Linked DNA regions of Coturnix japonica. The protein of the gene in region 2 binds, or shares a complex with, the protein of the main gene of each other region. Links are inferred from orthologs where the notes say so. Each region holds a gene or a part of one and is shown on either strand. Other genes may lie near its edges. The genes, in order: BMP2, NOG and BMP7.

What was found.
Region 1: the proteins of NOG (region 2) and BMP2 are in contact, whole or in part, in a crystal structure (PDB 7AG0), measured with the Homo sapiens proteins. The link is inferred for Coturnix japonica from reciprocal best matches to the Homo sapiens genes NOG and BMP2. Residues at the interface, in NP_005441.1 of Homo sapiens: Ile33, Arg34, Pro35, Ala36, Pro37, Ser38, Asp39, Asn40, Pro42, Leu43, Val44, Asp45, Leu46, Ile47, His49, His199, Arg204, Arg206, Pro219, Ile220, Gln221, Tyr222, Pro223; in NP_001191.1 of Homo sapiens: Trp310, Asp312, Trp313, Val315, Ala316, Pro317, Pro318, Gly319, Tyr320, Ala368, Ile369, Ser370, Met371, Leu372, Tyr373, Lys379, Val380, Val381, Leu382, Lys383, Asn384, Tyr385, Gln386, Met388.
Region 3: the proteins of NOG (region 2) and BMP7 are in contact, whole or in part, in a crystal structure (PDB 1M4U), measured with the Homo sapiens proteins. The link is inferred for Coturnix japonica from reciprocal best matches to the Homo sapiens genes NOG and BMP7. Residues at the interface, in NP_005441.1 of Homo sapiens: His29, Tyr30, Leu31, His32, Ile33, Arg34, Pro35, Ala36; in NP_001710.1 of Homo sapiens: Phe365, Pro366, Leu367, Asn368, Ser369, Asn375, Ile378, Val379.

Annotation. Positions count from the first base shown.
Region 1 is NC_029518.1:13,150,628-13,157,827, forward strand, and holds the start of BMP2 (bone morphogenetic protein 2), read right to left. Parts: upstream 4,452-7,200; 5' UTR 4,019-4,451; intron 3,359-4,018; 5' UTR 3,352-3,358; coding exon 3,018-3,351; intron 994-3,017; coding exon 149-993; 3' UTR 1-148. UniProt on the Homo sapiens protein: Growth factor of the TGF-beta superfamily that plays essential roles in many developmental processes, including cardiogenesis, neurogenesis, and osteogenesis. Induces cartilage and bone formation.
Region 2 is NC_029533.1:7,833,152-7,839,867, forward strand, and holds NOG (noggin), read right to left. Parts: upstream 4,048-6,716; 5' UTR 3,432-4,047; coding exon 2,760-3,431; 3' UTR 2,185-2,759; downstream 1-2,184. UniProt on the Homo sapiens protein: Inhibitor of bone morphogenetic proteins (BMP) signaling which is required for growth and patterning of the neural tube and somite. Essential for cartilage morphogenesis and joint formation.
Region 3 is NC_029535.1:10,546,370-10,553,709, reverse strand, and holds the start of BMP7 (bone morphogenetic protein 7), read right to left. Parts: upstream 4,214-7,340; coding exon 3,694-4,213; intron 1-3,693. UniProt on the Homo sapiens protein: Growth factor of the TGF-beta superfamily that plays important role in various biological processes, including embryogenesis, hematopoiesis, neurogenesis and skeletal morphogenesis.

The DNA.
Region 1 (7,200 bases), on a different chromosome or scaffold from region 2:
TAGACATAAATATATTTTTCAAAATAATTGTGTTTTTTTTTCTTTTTCTTTCCATTTTCATTACATAAATAAAGTCTTCATTGGGAAATATTAAAGTGTCAGCTTTTCTCTATTTTTTCTTTTGCATTTGTCCGATATATTCGCCGTGTCAGCGGCACCCACAACCCTCCACAACCATATCTTGATAGTTCTTTAGCACAACTTTCTCATTCTCATCCAGGTAGAGCATTGAGATAGCGCTCAGTTCTGTCGGCACGCAGCAGGCCTTGGGGATTTTGGAATTCACTGAATTGACCAAAGTCTGAACAATGGCGTGGTTCGTTGAGTTGAGGTGGTCGGCCAGAGGGAAGGGACAGTCCCCGTGGCAGTAAAACGCCTGGTAGCCCGGGGGAGCCACGATCCAATCGTTCCAACCCACGTCGCTGAAATCCACATACAACGGATGCCTTTTGCAACTGTATTTGTGGCGTTTGCGCTGTTTGTGTTTCACTTGACGCTTTTCTCTTTTGTGAAGCGGGTGTCCCTTGCCATCGTGCCCAAACGTCACTAACAACGGCCTGAGCTGAGACCAGCTATCTTCATCCTGGTGTAAAGACCTGCTAATCCTAACGTGCCTCTTGGAGGCACTGTTCTCTTTGTCCAAGTGAACCACCTCCACTACAAACCCATGATTAGGTTGCCCGTGTGCAATCCACCTCAAAACGGCCGGCGTTACATCAAAACTTTCCCATTTACTTGCATTATGATGCACCAACCTGGTGTCCAAAAGTCTCGTGACGGGGTCCTTAGAGGTGGCTGTGGCTGGTTTTATAATTTCATAAATATTAATACGGTGATGGTAGCTGCTGTTGCTCTCAAAGGCTTCGTGCACCTGCTCCCGAAAGATCTGGAGTTCAGCTGAGGTGATAGACTCCTCATTAGGGATGGAAGTTAAATTAAAGAAGAAACGTCGTGCTGTTTTCCCACTTGTTTCTGGCAGTTCTTCCAAAACTTCTAATTTGATTAAACGAGAAGGGAAGGGGAGGGGGGCAGGGAGCAGAGGGAGAGAAAGAAAAAACAGTTAGGAACTGAGACAAGCAACCAAACCCCTCAGATACGTGCTGCTGGCATGCGACAAACAAGACCTGAAAGACTTCCAGGCAGAAAGCACAGCCTCCCTCATCCTTCTGTTTATTTACACAAGCATGTATAGCACAAAGTTAAGAACGCTTCATTCATTGTCATGCACTTTGATGGAATACCGGTGCTCTTTGCATTCCAGGTAGTCATTACCAGTGCCGAGAAACATGAAGCATCACGTTGGAATTCAAAGACATCAGTGAGAAAACTCGAGCACTACAGTTAGCAGAGGTCTGATGAGAATCATTGAAACCAACTGAGGATTTAAGGGCAATTGATGCATTTCTGCATTTTTCAAGAATATGGCTGGAGCACCTCTCTCTTAAGTTCCATTCTGAAATACAGTGCTCCACATCTTCAGTAACTTACTCAATCTTAATGTATAGATTTGCATATGTTAACTAGAGGCAGTGACCTCAACATCTGTAAGGCCACTTTACAAGCACACCCCAGTATGAAGTCCAAAGGACTGTGAGAACGGGTCTAGCTGCTAGAATGGGTGGATGCTAAAGGGATAAGGAAATGTTTTTAGCAACCAAACCAGCCCCTGAGCCCCGTGCCATCTTTCCCTTTCAGCCAACAGACACTGGAATGGAACTTCAGGGGGAGTACTATGTATCTAGGGCTGCTACACTGTAAGTTTCTGCTGCAGACACGGAAGAAATAGCGTTTGCCCACAATAATCCCTCTGAAATCCTGGGTTTTCTTTTTGCTACTCAGCATCCCGGGGATCCGTTCACTTTCTGAAGGGAAGCTGGCACTGACGTGAGCAGTTCTCAGCCCCGTGCCATTCCCTGCTGGCTCCAGCCCGACTTCCCGCATCAGGCAGGGCTCAGCTCTGCAGCGCTTCGGGACCAGCCCGGCGTTTGTAAATATGCAGATGTGCGAGCGCTCCCGGCACAGCCTCCTGCTCTCATGAAGTCACGAACCAACAGTGAGAACTCAATGGAAAAACGGAGTCACGTTGATTTTCGTCTCAAGTTTGTGAAAACCGGAGGACAGCCTTCCATGTCAAAGACTTTGTTGCAACACCACCGCTTCCAACGCTGCTCTGTTTGCCTACAAGTTACACTCCGTGCCCCTCGGCTCCTGTCCTGCTCAGCACCTCGCCTGCCACGTACGGGCTTAAAAGGAACGAGCCACGCGCTGCTGCTGTTTACTTCCCCGCTACAGAGAGAGTGACATTTCACCACTGATCTCACTTCCCACTAAACGGCACCGGGGCCACCTCCGTCCAGCAGAACCATTAAATCTAAGCGCGTTTCTTTTCTCAGCTGTTCCACCTGAAGAGCGCGGGGCGACCGCTTTTCCATTCCCTTTAAAGCAGAGCCGCCGTGTGCCAGCGCCAGAGACTATGGCCAGGGCAGGTTCCATCCCGGGATAAAGCTTCCTGCAGAGCGGGGCAGCGGCAAGCACCGACGGCTCTGCGGGACCACGCGGCTGCGATCTCGGCCGTGTGAGCCGCTCGCTGGGTACGGCCCCCGGACGGGCAGCCAGCAGCCGGAGCCCCAGCCCGGAGCGCTACCTCCACCCCGGAGCGCTACCTCCAGCCGGGCGGCACGGCCCCGAGCTTCGCGACTCCTCCGGCTCGACGGCGGCCGGGGGAAGGCCGCTCCGGCCCGCTTCGCCTATCTCCCACGGGGATTTAGATAAGGGATTAGGAACCTTCGCCGCGGCTCGGGGGAAGCTTTCCTTCGCGTTCCGCCTCGCCCAAAGAAAGCTCCGTTCGCGGCCGGCAGAGCGCGGCGAGAGCCTCACACCGGCGGCCCCGGAGCCCGCGGTGGGCTCTGGAAACGCAGCCGCGACCCCCTCCGAAGCTCGGAGCCCGCCCCGCCGCCCCTCCTCCGTCCCACCCTCGCACTCCTCCCGCTCCCCTCCGCCCGTCCCTCGGCCCCTACCTTCGTGGTGGAAGCTGCGCACGGTGTTGGCGCGGCTGGCGGCCCTCTCCAGCGGGTAGCCCAGCTGCTGGCCGGCGTGCAGACGGTAGAGGTCCAGCATGTAGGGGGGGATGACGACGTCCTTGCCGGGGCTGGGCCGCCGCTTCAGCCCAAACATGTGAAGCAGGCGCAGCTCGAACTCTCCCAGGAGGTCCTCGGGGCGCTGCGCGGCCGAGGCGGAGCGGCCCGGTTCGCTGAAGCGCCGCCGTCCCACCTCCGGCATGAGGCCGGCCGCGCCGCCCAGCAGCACCCGGCAGAGCAGCAGCGCCAGGAGGGAGCGGGTGGCGGCAACCATGGTCGACCTGCGCGGAGGAGGAGGCGATGGGAGGCGGTCAGCGCGGGCACCGCGCCGGGGGAGCGCGCCGCGAAGCGGGGGGCAGCCGGGGCCACTCCGCAGGTGGCTGCCGGCCCATGGCGAGCGGACAGCGGGACGGCGCGGCCGGGGGGGCCCCGTCGGGGCTCAGGTGCGCGGCGGCACCAAATCCCCGCGGCGGGGGATCAAAAGGAGCCGGGCGGGCCGGGCAGCGGGGGTGGGGGGCGAGGGGAAGGGGCGCGGGTGGCCGGAGAGCCGCCCTCGGCGGGCGCAGGTGCGTGCGGCCACGGCCTCCCGCAGAGGGAACGGGGGGCGGAGAGGGACGGGGCGGTGGGAGAGGGACCTCCCGGCCGTGCCCGGGGCAGGCTATTCCAGCCGCGGCTTCCCCGGTCACAGGGAGGAGGGCCCCGCTATCCCGGCGTGGAATGAAGAGGGAAAAAAAAAAAAAGAAAAAGATGAAAAAAAAAAAGTAAAAAAAAGGAAAAAAAAAATAAAAGCCGCTCGCGCTCGAGCAGGAGCCGCGGGACGCTCTTCTCCCCCGCCAAACTCGGCGCGGGGTTAAGGCTCGCTACCCGCTCTCCGTCCCGTCCCCCCGGTGTTGCACGGAGTCATCCTGCGGAGACGGCGATCGGCGGCCGCGGGGCCGTACCTGAGTGCGGCGGGGCTGGCGTCTGCGGGAGCGCGTGCTGCTCTCGGGCTGTGGTCCCCGCATCACTTGGAGTTACTCCGAACCGCGCTGCTGCTGCTCCTCTGCGGCTGCCGGGCGGAAAACGGGAGCTGCCCGCGGTGCGGAGCGCCTCGGGAACATGCCTCGGGCGGGCGGGCGGGAGGCAGGAGGAAAGTCCGCGCTTCTCCTTTCGCAAAGCGCCGGTCGCAAAGTCGGTGTTTCCTTTCCGTTCTCCTCTCGGTGCGCGCTGCCCGCCCGCGAGTGGGTGCTACGCGTTACGGAGCGGAACGGCGCCTTCCGCGAGCGTCCTGCGCATCACCCGCAGCGCACGGGCGGCTATTTACCGGGAATCCCGCAGCGACATGGAGATGGGAGCTGGGCTTCGCTTTGCTCCGCGCCTTTAAAAGAAAAAAAAAAAAAANAAAAAAAAAAAAAAAAAAAAAAGGAAAAACCCAACCGAGGAGGAGAACGAAATAAAAAGCTACATTACAAAAAATATCCACCAACAAAACCCCTCCGGAGGGTGTGAGCACCGGTGGGGACAGCGCTGCGAGCGCGCACCCGTCCCGCCCGCGCCGCACCATGCACGGGGGCGGCCGAACGCGGCCGCGGCTTTTTGTTGCGCTCCGATGTCACGACCCCGGAGGCTCGCGGGCCCGCGCCAATCACAGCCGCCCTGTGGGAGCGGGCCGCGGCCCCGCACGGCTTTTAAAGGAGACGCCGCCTCCCTCCGTCTCTCCCTCCCTCGCCGCTTCTCTCCCTCCTCCTCCTTCGCCCGTTCCCTGCCTCGCCCGGACGCACCGCGCCGGGCTCTGGCCAGTCTGTGTGTCCGTCCGTCCGCCCGCACGGGACCGTCCCGCCGCTCCCCGCACAGTGACCGAGCGCCGGGTCGCGCGATGGGACCGGACCCCGAGCCCCCGGCGTCGCTCCCGACTTGCCGAGCGGCTCCCGGCCCGCCCCGTCCCGTCCCGTCCCGCACCGTACCGCCGCCGTGCCCGGCCGCGGGTTGGGAGCCGCTCTCCCCGCTCAGCCGCCGTCGGGGCGCTCCGGGATCACCCGGGACGCTGCCCCGTGCCCCGGCCCCGGCCCGACCCGCGCGGCCGCTCGCGTTCCTGAGCCGTGGCTGCCCCCCAGTGGCGGCGGAGCGGCGCTCCCCGCCCGCTGCCCCGCTCCGCACCTGCCCGCTCCCCTGTGCCGCTCTGCGCCTCGACGCGGCTCCGCGCTCGGGGTCGGGGTTGGCCGCTACCCCGGCTTTCGTTCGCCTGTGTGGGACGCGGCCCCTCCGCAGGGGTCACAAACGCCCCTCAGGGACTTCATCTGCAAAGAAGCTACAGCCAAATGTAAAACACTGCGGATGAGAATCTAAAGCAATAACAACCTTGACACCTCCATTCCCAGCTCCTCCTTTGGGAGTGGCCTTCTCCCTCCATCTTGACTTAGGGCACGACGCAGCATCTGCACTGGGGCAGGTCCCTTCTCCTGCCGCCTTGTGAGCCGCAGCTGTGCCATGGGACAGTGCCCAGCAGGGACTAACCAGCACTGTGCACCCAGCTGCTCCCCACGCCCCCTCAGCTGACCCTCGTGTGAAGGCCCTCAAAAGTTCTGTAACTTTTCTGTTGCATTTCAGTACAAATAAAGTTTAGTTTTATGACTCCCTGCGAGTCCTCTTCACGACCAAGGTGAAAGCAGTGTGATGCTGTGCCCATTATGTAAATCAGCACTAAAATAACAATGGCAGTGTTGTTTACACATCACTGGCGTTAAATGAGAACTTCTAATTGCCATCCCAGTTCAGTCTGTCGTGGGTCATGCCAGGAAGAAGCCAGGTGGCAAAGCAGCACGTATGCAGAAGGGTCACCTCCCCCAGGTGTCCCACAGCAGCACTCCCCCACAGAGCTCCCCTTCACACAGAGCTGGTGCATCAGCTCCTCTCCTGACAGAGAAACCAGCACTGGTGCTGAAGAGATCTGATATGGACATTGGGTTGTAAGAAGCTGGACCGCACAGATGTGTCACCTTTGTGAAGCTTCATTTCCATACTCCTCAACTCTGTATGGTTGACTGGACTGATCCATTTGTATTTTCCTTTTCTGCACATCTACTCTCTTTTTTTTCTTCCTTTTCTTTTTCTCTTGCTTCACAGTGTTGTGGTTTGCTGTGGGCTTTATCTGAGCCAGTGAGCATTCAGCTAAGGGCACCTGCTTCTTGGGTTTCAGATCCAGGTGCTCCTCTGCAGGTGCCCAATTGCAGCTGGTAGATCTCAACTTTATGCACTGTTGGGTTTTCTTAGTGAAATAAAGCACCCACAGACAGATAGGTTTTACAACCCGGTAAGAACTGTTTTTCAAGCACGGGAAGGCAAGAAGAAAGTCTTCTTCCGCACAACTCTGTTCTTCCTACTACATCCAATTGTGTTTCTGTAGTGCCACCAGGTAGTGTCTTTCTTCTGTCCTGGTTTAACTGTGAGCACTGCCAACGTTGCAGCGGGCAGAAGCCTTCAGCTGGAAGACCTCAATGAGAAATGCAGCCGGGACCTCGAGCTGGGACTCACAGTCACTAACAAAACACTCCAGATCCTGGTCTAGTCGTTGGACAGGTCTGCAGCAGCACACATAGAGCTCTGTGCACACTGCTGGTCAACACTTCTACCACTGACTTCAGCAGACCTGCTAGACCAACACCAAGCACTTCTAAAATTCCCCTCTTAGGCCAATTTCCCTCAGACATAGTGAGCTTTTGACATGGTACACTAACAGTACTGAGGGTGATTCATGTATTTGGTGCGCTGCAGTGACTAAACCTCTTCAGAGAAGCCTATGCTGAAGCATGAAAAATCTACATGATGCAGCATCAAACGTGAGGGGGGTGGCTGCTGAAAACGAGTTAAGGTGTGTTAGTGATGTTGAGGCTTTGATAGAGATTAGCTGAAAGCTTTTCTGTTTCTCAGCTGGGCTCCCCATTGGCATCTGTGCGAATATGATGTGTGCTCATTCTTGAAAACACTTCATGCTGTTTTCTGAAGATGTGTTTGTCTTTTGGTAGTTTGTCTTTAACATCCATCGGTTGTCTGTGCTCTGCAGCCCGTCTCCTGTTCCGTGGATGGATTCTCACTCGAGAAGGTAATTTATAAGATGATGATTTGTTTCTGAAGAGGGGAAAGGCAT
Region 2 (6,716 bases):
TCTTATTGCTTCCCCACAGTGGTCTCTGTGAGGTCCTGTGGTGCCACTACAAAGATGAGCAAACAAAACTTGGCCGTGTTAGGAATTGATTTCAATTTGAAAAAGCCATAATTCAATTTTGTTCTAAAAACATATTACAAAATCTAATATTAAAAAGATTTGCATAGAAACATTCACCAGAAAGCTCTTTTATTTGTTTGGCTTGAAACACTTCCACTACAAGCCAAACATTTCAACACTGGGGCAGGAGGACCAGAAAGTGAACCTGACCAGAAACAACAGTGGAAACGACTCGTTTATTTTTGCTCCACCAGCTGACAAAATTCAGTTAGTTCGTTAAAAAAAAAATAATAAAAATCACGTGCCTTGTGGAGGGTGAGAGTCGATTTTTTTAACCCAAAATATGACCTTATTTCTCAGCACTGGAGCTTCGTTGGCTGAGGAGGTGAAGCAGGAGCCAGCTGTGTGCTGAGCACACGGCGCTCACCCCCCGCACACACACGCACAGCCCCGCAGCGCTCACATCTGATGGCAGCCAGAGCCGGTCTGCAGACAGCATCTGTGTGCCCCACTGCGGGATCGCCCAGGGATGAATGGGGGGCGAGTCCCTCGCTACCAGTGGGAATATTACCTAGTAACGTTTGCTAATGGGGCAAAGGACCTTGTATTGTAATCCAGTGACATTTTCAACCTTCGGAGAACTTTTGTTGACATTCCCGAGTCGCTGGCTGCCATCCCAGCATGAAATAGTTTCTGTTCGCATAATTCTCCTGTTTACCAGCCATGAAAAACTCGCGCTTTTGGCTTTTTTTTTTTTTTTTTGCAAGTGAAACTGTCTAAAAAAAAATTGGCCCCAGGCATAGAAGGTTTTGCATAAATTCATATGTGATGAATGGCTGATTTTAATGTTATTTGGGTATTTGTCAGAACCTAACAAATATACATGGTAATGGTGGTTCATAAACTTAAACATCTCAATATCCCCTTTCTTCTAGAAATAAATTACGTTTGTTTGCCCTGCCTGGAGTCCTAAGGTAGCCGACATTAGGAATATTTTAAATGTGATCATCCATCCAGCATGTCTTTCAGGCGCCACGAAGATTAAATGAAAGAATCATAAGATGAAGGTCTTTAACTTTTAATCCTTTTACAATGAACCCTTAGATAGACATGGGGGCAGGGTGCCTTCTATGTGAGTAATAATGCCTCCGTTCCTCTTCACTCGGTTAATGAATACCCGAAATGTCCCGAGATCTGATTTTTTTTTTCTTTTTTTTCCTTAAGTATTGAAATTAAAAGCAAAGAGACGGACGGTAAAACGCACCGAGACGGCGAGAGGGGGAATGAATATGCAGTGGGAGATAGGAGAGCTCAGCGCCGGGGAAAGCAGGGCTGGGCTGTGTCAGAGAGACACGCGGCTGCAGAATGATTAGCGCGGATTCCCTGAGAGTTTAAAAAAAAAAAAAAAAAAAGTTCGCTGATTCCAAGATAAATAAGGAAAAGGCGTTCTGCACTGTCACGGCGCCTCTGAGGAACACGTGGAGCGTTTGTTTTTGCACTCGGTATCTATGAGATACAACCGGCCCAGCACGGCGCGGCCCAGCGCTCCGCTGCCGGCGGCGGGTCCTGGCGGAGCCGCGGGGCAATTCCGCGTCCGCGGAGCCCGCAGAGCAGCGGGGGCGGCCGGAGCCGGGCGGGGGGGAAACAGGGGGCGGCGGGACGGGTCTCCGCCGGGCAGCGGCGTTCGGGAGCAGAGCGGCGCCGGGCCGTGCAGCACCGCTGCCGTGCTACACCCGCACCGCAACGCACCGCAACGCGGGGCACGACGAAACGAGCGGGTCCGTACCCAGCCCGGGCGCTGCCGGCGGCGGATCAGCTGGGGACCGGCGGGTGCCCAGAGTTAATGGGCTGTGAGGGCGAGTGTCGCCGGTCGGGGAGGGCGTGCGAGGCTGTCACAGGATTGGGTTAATAACGCGTCTGCGCTGCAAACCCCCGAAGCCCAAGGGTCAAGTTTCAGCAGCGTCCCACCACAATGGTAGGTGTGAAAGACACGTGTCCCGTTGTAAATGAAATGTCAAGCGGCTACAAAAGCCCGGAGCGGCGGCCCCGCAGATCGGCCCGCTGTGTGTGCGGGGTGCGGGACACGCGGAGCAGCCGCACCGAGCAGCAAACAGCACCCGCACGTGTTTTAGTGGTTGACTTTAATTCTGCTCTGCGCTTTTACTACAGGGGTATAAAGAATAAATAGCAGATACTCTTCATTTACATAGAATTAAGTCATTCGGACCGTTCTATTTACAATAACATTGTGCTCGAGGCGTTTTCTTTTTAACCTAAAGTCCGTAAGAAGAAAAAAAAACCCACTCAAACGCAGCGACACGCTTTCCGAAGAATGGAAAATTGCTTGCAAACGTTTTCTTATCAAAAAGTTTGGTTTGTATTTTTTAATCCTTTTATTAAAAAACAACAACAACAACAACAAACCGACTTCGCCAAAGCGAAGCAATTCCTCTCCGGAATATAAATACAAAAAAAAAAGATACATTAGCAACGATCAGGGTAATAGCCTTAAAAATACAGTAGACGCTGATTATTTCACGTATAATACTGACCTTTTAATAGTATATTAAACCGGTGCCATATATACACACAATATACATTCTCCTACACATTACAGTGCATTACAACGTTAACCAGAAAGCAGTGTCTCTTATTTGTGTTGCAGCAAAGGTCCCCGGCAGCCCTGCGGGCACTGAGCCCTAACAGGAGCACTTGCACTCGGCGATGATGGGGTACTGGATGGGGATCCACGTGCAGCGCTGCCCGCCCCGCCGCTGGCACCGCCACCTCAGGATCGTTAAATGCACGGACTTGGCAGGTTTGCAGACCATGCCTTCTGGGACCGAGCAAGACCTTTTACTGTAGCAGCTGCCCACTTTGACGTACCGGGGCCAAAAACGGCTGCCGAGATCGTTCCACGTGTATAGGACCGGGCAGAAGGTCTGGGACCAGAGCCACATCTGCAGCTTCCTGCGCAGCTTCTTGCTCAGCCGGTGCTTCTTGCCCGGCTGCAGCCCGTCGTAGAACTCCAGCCCCTTGATTTCGCCGGGCATCGCTCCCGAGGGTCTCTGCCGCAGCAGCAAGTCCAGCTCGGCCAGATCGTCTACCCCGAGCCGGTCCTCGGGTAGGGAAATAGCCATAAAGTTAGGGTCGAAGTGTCCTCCCATGAGGCTCCTTAGCAAGGTCTCGTTAAGATCCTTCTCCTTGGGGTCAAAGATAGGGTCCGGGTGCTCGATTAGATCCACCAGGGGCAGGTTGTCGCTGGGAGCCGGGCGGATGTGCAGGTAGTGCTGGCAGGAGCCCTGCTGCAGCCGGAGCCCCAGCAGCACCGCCGCGGCGTATATAGTCACAAGGCACTGGGAATGATCCATCCTTGGGAGACCGCCGGGGGGGGGGTGGGGAGGGGGGCTGGGTTCACCGAGCAGCGGGGGAAGAAGGTGCGAGCAAATGCATCAGAAAACTCGGACGCGGATATCCCGGACCGCCTGTCCGTGCCGGGGCTCCGCTCCGCTCCCGCACCGCCGCACGCAGCCCCCGGCCGCGGGTAGAGCCGGCCCCGCAGACGCGCTGCGCTCCTCGCGAGCCGCTGGAGAAAAGCTCTCCCGGTGGAGCCGCTCCAAATTCTGCCGCAGCCGCCGCTTCTTTTCGCGTTCCCCGCGACGAGGAGACAGACGCCTCTTTTTGTTGCTGCTCTCCGCTGCCGCTCCTCGCCGTCCGCCCGTGCGTGTGCGAGCAGTCGCCGCCGGCTCTTCCTCCCCGCTCCTCTCCGCCGCTCGCAAAGCCGCCTCCTCAGCAGCAACGGCAGCCGCGCACGTTGGCACCAGTTTGTCTGCTTCGCGAGGACCCAAAGCCTTTAAATTTCCTGCACTTTCAGCTTCATCTCCATGGAAACCACAGACTCTCTTCTAACCCACCCCACCCCCCTTAAAAAAAACCACACGCACAACGCAACCCCCACTCCCACAAAAGTCCGGGAGAGCGCGGCTTTCCCCCCTTGCCACCCCGCACACACCCTCTGCTGGGGATGGCTGCAGCCCGCCGCCTCCCCCCGCCTCCCGCCGCTCCCCGGGAGATGCTGGGCTCTGGGCAGCGCTCCGCTCCGCTCCGTTCCGCTCCTCCCGCCGGTAGCGGTGGCTGGTGCCGGCGGCGCTCACCCCATGGGCACGGCGGAGCGGCGGAGCGCGACCCGGGAGCGGAGCGCGGCTCCGGGCCGCCCCGCACTATCCGCGCCGCTTCTCTCGCTGCCCCGGCGCGTTGCGGCGCTACCTGGCCGCGGGCGGAAGGTTTGCCCGGCTCCGCACATGGGCCCGTGATGTAATTCCCACTACGCGCCCGGCTGGCCGCCCGCCCGCCCGCGGGGACGCGGCAGAGCAGACGCCCCGGCCCCGGCGCCCGGCCGGGCAGAGCGGGCCCTCTGCTGGCGGCGCCGGGCCGGGCCGAGCCGGGTTCGCCCCGCGGACATCCCGGAGGCAGCGGCCCCTCCTGCGGAGCTGCACGGAGCGCGCCCCGCCGCAACACGGCCGCGTTATGGGGCTGCTCCGTCGGATGCGCCGCCGCGGTGCCACGCCAGATCCGACAAGCGAAGACAGAAACGCTGCATCGACGGTACGAACGGGGAGAAGTTTTACAGACACCGCAGAAGTGCTGCGTCACAGAAAGCATCGCAAGGCACGGTCAGCCAGCAGGCTGGGTCACTAAGCGCTCTGTGAGGACGTGCTGGAATCCCGCAGGCTGTGTAGGCACTTTGGAGCCTAAGTTTAATGGGACTGAAGCTCAGCCACTAATAAATTATTTATGCATTTGTTTAAATGCTGCTCTTCAAATTTAGGATTGTAATGAATGTTATATGTTGATTGTATTACCCGCGTTGAGCTGCTTCTCTAAAAATTAACTGTATTTTATTATCTATTTTCACTCCCTAGGCTAAATTCAACGTAATGACATGAAAAAGGTGGAAAACTGACCCAAGCCACTCGCCAGAAAAGCAGCCTGACAGTGACATCTGCTGCTGTTGGTCTCTGCCCTCAAGTGGAACCTGCAAAGCCTTCACTCCTCCTTTTTGGCCACCCTACAGGGCAACACGGAACCGTGTGTTCCCTGACATGCGGGAACCTAAAACCACCTCTCAGCAGCAGCAGCAGCAGCAGCAGCACACGTTGACAAGGAACAAAGATGGGAAACTGCTGACATTTCTCAGCTGTGCTGCTGCAGTGCCATCCCACGTTGCAGTGTTGGTGGAGCAGCCGTAGGGAGAACTGCTGGGATGGTTCCTGGGGGCTCAGGGTGCAAGTGGCTGCTGGTGCCGGTGAGGGCTCTGCCCGCCTCTGCCCTCACTGCCTTCCCACCTGCAGCCGGCATCGCTTCACCGTGGAGCTCTTCTGGGAGGGATTTCATTCAGGCTGTGAGTTGTACAAGTTGGCAATGCGCGGTGTTAAGTGGATGAGGAAGAGAGAAACCGCTCCTCCTTGGATCCCATCCTCCCTTCTCCTTCTTTTCAGGGAGTCTTTGTTGCCACACTTCTTCGTAAAGGAGTTTTATGAAAGCAGTCAAATATTAGGTTAGATCAGATTTTTCCCCAATGAAACTACTGGGAAAGTGGCCACTGGTGTGGGCCAGTTCCTCCTCATTGTGTACAGCAGTGCTGCCAAGGCGCAGACAGGGAAAGTAACCTGTAAGTCACTGCAAATATTTCTGAATCTTCTTTCAAGCCACCTTGTTTAAACACAAAGGCACGAAAACAACAACAGCTCAAAATAATGCTTTGAAGAGAAAGCAAAAATCCTGAAGTTCCTTCCTGCCGTCCCGTATTTCTGCTTTCAGAACAAATTCAGTTCTGCTCAGTTGGCACTTGAAAACAATTCCTTTAACTACCAGTCTCAGAGTCTAAAAATAAAGCCTACGAAGCCTGTTCATACCAGCTGTGCACTTCAGGTTCTACACTCTAAACCACGGAGCATCGACCCTCCTGTGCCGCACTGTGATGTGGGGCTGCAGGAAGGGTTGGTGGATTGCTTTGGGCTGTGCCCGTTCCAGGCCAGGTGTCTGCATGGAGCACCGCGCTGCTGGCGAGGCCACACGAGCTCAAGGAAAGCAGAAGTGACAGAAGTCACTCATGGCCCAAGAATTTCTCAGTGGAATGGCTGATAGCGGGATGGGGAGAGCTGCCAGTAACTGCTCTGCCAGAAGCCTCTGGGTCAGAGGGAAAAGAGATTTGGATCCCCATCAAATTGGTTTAGTTCGGGGTTTGCTGAAAACAGCAATAAATGAAACCCAGAGGTAAAGGGCCTGATCCAGTCGGTGCATGATGCCAGCCCTGCCTGGGATAGGGACAGAGGCCAGCAGCTCAGGCAGGACTGAGCTGGTCACTCTACTGGCAATGGTGCATGGAGCAGAGGAGGAAACAACTCCCTTTGCCTCAGCTTTATTGGTTCTGGAGTGCTGACAGTAGTAAAAAAGTGTTTTTTCAGTAGACAAAGCAAATACAACTTTCAAGGCACACAGGAAGCCAATGTGGGCTAGCTGGAGATGCTGCTCCTGCAGGGTCACAGCGCTGATGAGGAGAGAAGAGGCCTGTAGCTGCCCTGCTGGGACACTGGAGGCACAGCTCTGAAAACACATTACGTTAAGGATCCAATCGCAGCCCACAAGGATTCACA
Region 3 (7,340 bases), on a different chromosome or scaffold from region 2:
TGTACACCAACGAAGGCCTGTAGTGAGCTGGAATGCAAGGCAGCCCTTCCAAATTTTAACACAAGCCAGGTTACAGCTGCAAATGCCTGCAGCCCGTGCTCACTTTATAAAGTATTCCCCGAAGGAAATTTTTTAACTGTTATAGAATCTTTTTCTAATACCCTACAGTGTTAAAGCCTGTTATTAAAGGGCAGGGAGATGGTTCCCCATGCCAAACACTTGTCAACAAAAAGGATAGCCAGATGGTATGAAATAAAAGGAAACTTGGGGGCTCTTCAGCTCTTTCACTTACATTAACAAAAGCCACTTTGATGTGCTCCTTCCAAGAATGACTAATTCCACTCCCCCCCCCCCCTATTTTTTCGCCAGGATTAAGCAACGTTGTTCATTTTATAATCAACCACGAGACAAATTAACAAATTGCACAGCACTTGTGCCGATGCGGTAAGAAAACGTTCAGTCTGTTTACCAAGTCAGGATCACCCGCAGGAGGACAGCTCAATTATTTTTAGACGAGGGTCTACGCAAGGCAGAGGATGTTTACTCTTCAGCTGCTGTTTATAAACTTGAAATTAAACGGATGCAGAAAATGTTTTGTGTTTTTTTCAGTGCTTAAAATGGATCCGCTTGTAAACTTCGTTTGGACGTGGGTCTGAAATGGAATCCCAGCTAATGAAATTGCAGTAATAAATTGTGTAAAATTAGACAGCAATTAACTGACTGACTTCGTCAGGCCACTGTGGCTAAACTCTCTTTTAATTTACACGTCAATTCATTCTTGACACAAATCCATTCCTCATCCATCTTAGCACAGGTGTAAGTTAATACAAAATGTCGCCTGTGAATTAACTGGTTATAAATCTAAATCTAATTAATTGTCAAGATTTTACAGGAATTTTACATGCTTAGTACAGAGCTCCCTGCAACATAACCCTGAGATGGAGCACCTGTGCTTGGGTTCCTCCCTGCCAATGCCCAGTGTAAATTCCTTGGGATAAATACACACAGCATCTCCATAGAAATCAGTGTGTATTTGTGCTTGGTTTGGGTCTTTTTTTTTCTTTTTCACTATGCAACCCAGGCAGCCTTTCAGTATAAATCTTTATTTCTGACACATCTTCCTCCAAAACTGCATGACTAGAATAGATAGATGGGGAATATGAACACAGCAAACAAACACAAAGCTACCCGTATTTGTAGATGAGCATTTGGAAGCCTGGAATAACACGCTTTGTTTATTTAAATTCAGAATTACTATTTCTTCAGTCACTTTTATTTCCTCCACTACTGAGATGAAGGTTGATCATGCGGTGACACTTCCTCATTGCAATGGCTCTGCCATAGTAATAAAAGCCTACCTGTGAAACGCAATGCTTGCAGAGGAGCTCTCACAAAAGTAGGACACAGTTTACTACAGCCTGCATCCAGCAATTGAGCTCTGGTGTAAAAGGGATCACGGCAGAATATCTCCCAAAAAGCATCAGTTCTACAACAGAGCTTCTAATTTTCCCTGGATGTTATGGCGCACTGTACATATCAAAGCAGGTGTTACATTTTCCTATATACGTGAGTGGCTGGGCTAATTCATTCAAACGTCCCTAAACAAGCCTGTCTTTGTCCTGTAAAGATGAAAGACCGATGACTATAATGGGATGAAAGGTGTGCACAGGGATGAAGAAAGCTATTACGGATCTATGTCCTTTTTAAACTCGTCCTGGCATGCACTGTTGACAAGGGAACAAAACAGCGCAGATAAACCTCGGAGAGGTGCCTTGCTGGTAGGGATCCCACCTGCCTTGTTTAAAGCCTTTGGGTTTTGCCTGTACTCTTACTTCTCGCTGACCATGCTGACAGTACTTTGCATAGGGAATGCTTTCAGATTTCTGAGCCAACTACAAAACACAACAAGTCAAAATGGGTCCATCCACCATCGCCATCATATCACGTCAGGACAGAGATTACTGAGTGTGCGCAGTTCATACAGGCACAACCCACCCTATAGGAAGTTCTTACTTAGACATATCCCTGTTTACTTTGCTGTTTATGGATGGGTTCCACTCTAATCACAAACCATTTGTATTCCAGTTTGGGACCAGCAGATTAACTCCTTTTGTTTAACCCTTCCACAGGATGCAGGGAAGGCCTCTCGTGATGCCGGCAGTGCAGGCAGTGCAGGACAGAGCGCAGTGCAGCCGCAGCTCCGCGTACCAGCACAGAGCTGCACGTCCCTCATTGGTACTTACACACTTCTTATGTGCTCTGCTCCACTAAAATTCTGTGCATTCCATTCCACTGAAACTCACAGAAGTGTGAATTTCACTATGCTTGTTTCCACGTCCTTTGTCTTCTGTGCTCTGGGTGTCTGTACGTTGTTTAGGACCCAGGATCCACACAGAACAATGTTTGCGAGATCGCTCTTATCTCTAAAGCCAAATATTTGACCACCATTCATCCTTTTGGCTGCTCAAATATTTGGTTTTAAACGTATAATTGCTGACCAGCTTAAGTATCTAGCAGTGATTAGGCAAACACAATAATTGTAAATGGAAAGCATCAGCCCTCCTAAAGAGCACAGTCCCTAGGCCAAATGTAACTCAGAGAGTCCTGCTGCAGAGCTTATGGCATTCAATGAGGAGGTGCAGCTTGTGCAAATCAGAGGTCTCTCACAGCATCCCATGTAATGGAAGACGTGTGTTGGGACGGCTGTTGTGTCCAGTAATTACTATTGTTTGCCATCGAGCTTTGCAGATAGCGACACTACAAGCTCTGGGATTGGAGAGGTAGAAGTTTGTGCTGCCCCTGAGCCCAGAGACCCAGGAGGCATTAAAAGCTTTATGGATGATGGGAGTGTCTGCGATCCCCAGCAGGTTACATGCCGGCGATGCGCTGCTCTGCTCTTCTCTCCTCTCGGGTTGGGACCAATGAGTGGATCTTGTTTTGGAAATGCTACTTGCGTTGTGCCGGGTCTTTGCAGACACCCAGTCTGCACATGTGGTGGTTTCAGTGCTGTGTATGGTGAGGTCTAAAAGCGGACAGAGTGAAACACGGTCTGTAATTATATATTGAAAATAGAATACTTGCCCTGATGGCATTTTACTCAAATCCGGCCAAGTCAGTCCAAACGGGTGTGCAATCTACAGCAAGCAAATAGAAGTCAGATTGGGCCGTAGCATCCAATTAGAGAGGCCTAGCGAGCTGCATACAAAGCATGCCAACTTCTTATCATTTGCATAAAGCCATCCACATGTGCTTGGGAAGAGAGGCAAGTTGGTGGCACTCATGGAGGACAACAGAAAAAGCTGCAGGAGTGAGTGAGGATTTATTGTGGGATGTCCCCAGGCCATTGGGAACACACTGGGAGCCCCACATCCTGGTGGCCCCGTGTCCCGCAGCGCCATGAGCGTGCAGGCTTCATGTCCTCCTTGGTGACGATGGACACGGCTGAGCCCAGCAGCTCAGCTCCTACCTGCAGGGCCACTTTAGGAATGATGGCACGGAACTATTCGGTGGAGAAGCAAGTAAAGTGCTCGGCGGGTCAGCGTGCAGGTGTGCTGGGATGGCAGCAGGAGCCCTGGGCACGCACTCTGGCCTGGCCACCACACCGTCACCTTCCAAGGACCGCTCCCATCCATCCTCACCATCCATCCCGCCACCTGCCCGCAGCCCAGCCCTGCCCCGGCCCCGGGCACTCACCCAAGTTGACGAAGCTCATGACCATGTCGGCCTCGGTGAGGAAGTTGCTGTCCTGCAGGCTGGCCAGCGGCGGCCCCTGGGTGCTGAAGATGGGCTTGTAAGGGTAGGAGAAGCCCTCGCCTTCCTCGGCCGCCGCCCCCGCCGCCCCCTCCTCCACGGACATGGCATTGTAGAGGTCCAGCATGAACATGGGGGCCGAGTTGTGCTTGCCGTGGAGGTGCGGCCGCGGGCGGTGCGGCAGGCCGAGGATGGAGAGGATCTCCCGCTGCATCTCGCGGCGCTCGGGGCCGCGCAGCCGCCGGTGGATGAAGCTGGAGTGCACCTCGTTGTCCAGCGTGAAGTCGGCGAGGACGCAGCGCAGCCAGAGGGCGGGGGCGGCGGCGCCCAGCACCAGCAGCCAGGAGGCGGGCTGCCCTCGCCCCGCCGGCATCGCGGCGAGGCGGCGGCGGCGGCGGCGGCGGCTGGGGGGCGGCGCGGGGGGCGCGGGGCTGCCCCGCCGGGGGACGCGCCCCTCCGGCATGCGCGGCCCCGCGCTCACGGTGCCGGCCGCCGGCCCCCGCGGAGGAGCCGCGGCCCGTTCATGGCCCGGCGGGGGCTGCGCGGCGGCCCCGGCCCATGGGACGGCGAGAGAGGAGGACGGAGCGGAGCGAGAGCGGAGCGAGAGCGAGAGCGCTGCGTCCGGGAGCGGAGCCCGAGCGCCGCGGTCGATCCCGCACGGAGCGGCGGAGCCGTGTGCGCTGCGTGCTCCGCGGAGAGGCAGCGGGAGGGTGGCTCTGGTGGGAGGAGCAGGAGCGGAACCCAACGCGCTCCTCTCTCGCCTGCCCGCTGCAAACCGCTGGGGAGAGCAAAGCCGCGCTGCCGCCGGGAGGGGGAACGGCTGACGATCAGGTTGCTGTGCAGGACGTGTGCTGCTGGCTCGGGGCGAGGGCGGCCGGTCCCGGCGGTCGCATTAACGTGGACGTGATGAAGGAGAAGACGCCCCGAGAGGGAGGGAAGGAGGGGAGGAGGGCGGTCTGAGCGGAGGCAGAGTTTGGAGGTGCGGATACGCCGTCAGTGCGCGCAAACAGCGCGCAGCAGTGCCCGGCCGGCGCAAATCCCGCGACTCCCAAGTAGTTAAAGCGCAGAGTTGTGCACTCGTGCGCATTAATGCAACCGGGGCGATGGACTCGGCGTCTCAGAGCCGCAAACCCGGTATCGTGGCCGTGCTGCGATGCTGCCGTCCTGCTCGGGCACCTCGTGCCGCCGCGTTCCCCTGCTCTGTCCCCTGCCCGTTCTGCTGCCCCCTGCACACCTTTGCGCAACGCCCTGGGAATGAATCGCCTACTTTTCTAAGCGCTGATTTCACGGTTTCTAACTCCGTGTGTGTAACACCTACAGCAATGCAGCCTCAGCCCCGGCCAGTTTGGGTAGTGCTACTCAGTAACGATAGGCTGAGAGCACCATGAACTCTGCTGCTTCCTCGGGTCTCACTTGGAAAGCAAGAGGAAAGCAGGATGGAAGGGTTTATCTGCGATGCTGATCCCAGCCCCAGGTAACCTCGAGAACCAGACATATGCACGAAGTCGGTGCTGCCATTAAGATTCATTCCTCAGGCAAAGGAGAAAGAAGAAAGTCAGGGAGAAAGAAGGTCAGTGCAGTTTGTTAGATTGCTCCTCTGGTGTTTTTGGACAAGAAATAACTAGCAGTGCTAGCACCAGATCCTCCATCTGCTCTGGAAACAGGAAGTTCTGCCCTCCTTTTAGCTCTTTATGTTTAAATTCCTCCTGCAGACAGCAGGTAACTGGTTAAGAGCTGCATGGGAAAGACACAGAATGGTTTAGTGTGTTTGTGTGCGTCTGTGTGCACCTTTTAATAACAGGGAAACTGAGGCATGGCATTGACATGACTCACAGAGCTATTGAAATAGTGGTGGAACCAGCACTGAATCCAGCTCAGTTGTTTAGGAATGCATGGTGGTGGGGGCAGAGGCAGTGCAGGGCAGCCAGGGTCCATAGTGTGGAGCAGTGCTAAGCCCGGGGCGCTTTGGGGGGGCTCAAATGCCACCCCAGGTGGGTGCCTTCCCCTCACCCCTCACTGATGGGAGCATCAGCCCTTAGCACTTGTGCTTCAGATTAAACTCAGATTAAACAGTTAAGATTAAACTCTCCCATACTTCCTGAGGAGCAGTACCAACCTGCTCTTAACCAGGCAGGTATTTGCCTAAATTTCTCTCCTGCCTTGGGTGTGGTTTCTTGACCAACTGAAATCCAAGCTGCTGAAACCCAGCACAGCCCTCCAGCTGCAGGCTCCCTGCCCTCCCGGTGCGCACAGGTCAGGAAGCCTGTTCTGTTTTTAAACATAATCTTTCTCAAACCATTTCTTATTTGTTTTTGCTGAGTTAATTTTCTGCTGGATCAGCTCCTTGATCTGACTGAGTGCGTTAGGGATGGTGCTGGAATGAGGGAGGCCACAGGAATGCACAGCTGGGGGCAAAGAGAGGGTGGCAGGACTGGGCTGGGATGCCTGGCGTTTCCCTAAACCAGGGAGGTGACTGAGCATCCCCCGCTCTGCCTTTCAGCCACAGATAACTCAATTTCACTTTCTTTTTTTGTTCCTTGTAGGCAGAGTTGCCCTTTCATCACACAGCAGGACAAGGGGACTCACCTTCCTCAGGGTCAGGGAGGCTGAAAGTCTGTAAGGGTGGACTGGTGGAATGGGGAGCAGCTGGTCCCGCTGCCTGAATCACTTACACCTGAGTGGCTCCCAGCTCACATTTTCAAACTGAATAAATCTCAGCTCAGTGTTGTGTTTTAAAGCGGCATCACTCAGAGGGAAAAGAGAAGAAAAATTCTACTTGGAAGGTTTGGATCGTGACTCAACACCTTAGGTAACAGTGGCTGAAGCGGTATGTGTCATTGAAGAAATAGCAATAGAAGAAATGCAAACCTTGAAGCCTCTGGGTTTGACATATTTCTTTTAAAAGTGATGTTTGAATCTATTTCCTTCTTGTTTTGTTGGCTTAAGTGGTCTGGTTTTGTCTGAGATTGGATACTTCCTGATTTAATGTAGGATGTGTTCTTTAAAAAGGGGGGGGGGAGTACTGAAATTGTATCCCCTGCTTTCATAGAAGTAGTTGGTAATCTTTTCTAGCAGTGCTTTCTATGCTCCTATTGCACCAGGTAGAGCATTAAAGAAATGCATTATAGTTGCAGTGCAGGATCTGCTTGTGTGTATTCTTAAAAACAAAACTGCTGTGAGTGTGAAAGGAGCGGGGGTCTGTTAAAGAGTCATTTCTTTAACACGAGGCTCACAGCGATTGACTTCAGCCCGCAGTGGGACACAAAGCAGCGTTTATTCTGCTGCATACAATGAAGGATGATGCAGCTCAGACTGCAGTGGTTCAGCCCTCAGATCTGAGCTTGAATTTCAAATCCCTTTCAGACAAGGAAGGTACAAAGGGGATTGTCTTTCTCATGGACAACATCCTTCTCTTCCCTCCTTTCTTCCTGCTGTGTGACCGCCATCCTGCTTCCATAGGGTCGGTTCCACCACAGACAGCGTGCTGAAATGTTGGCACCTTCATGTCATCATCATCTTCCTCCTCCTTCCTGGATCAATTAAGAAACCAGTTTTTCCTCTTCTCTGCTCCTGTCCTTCCTTCTCTTCTT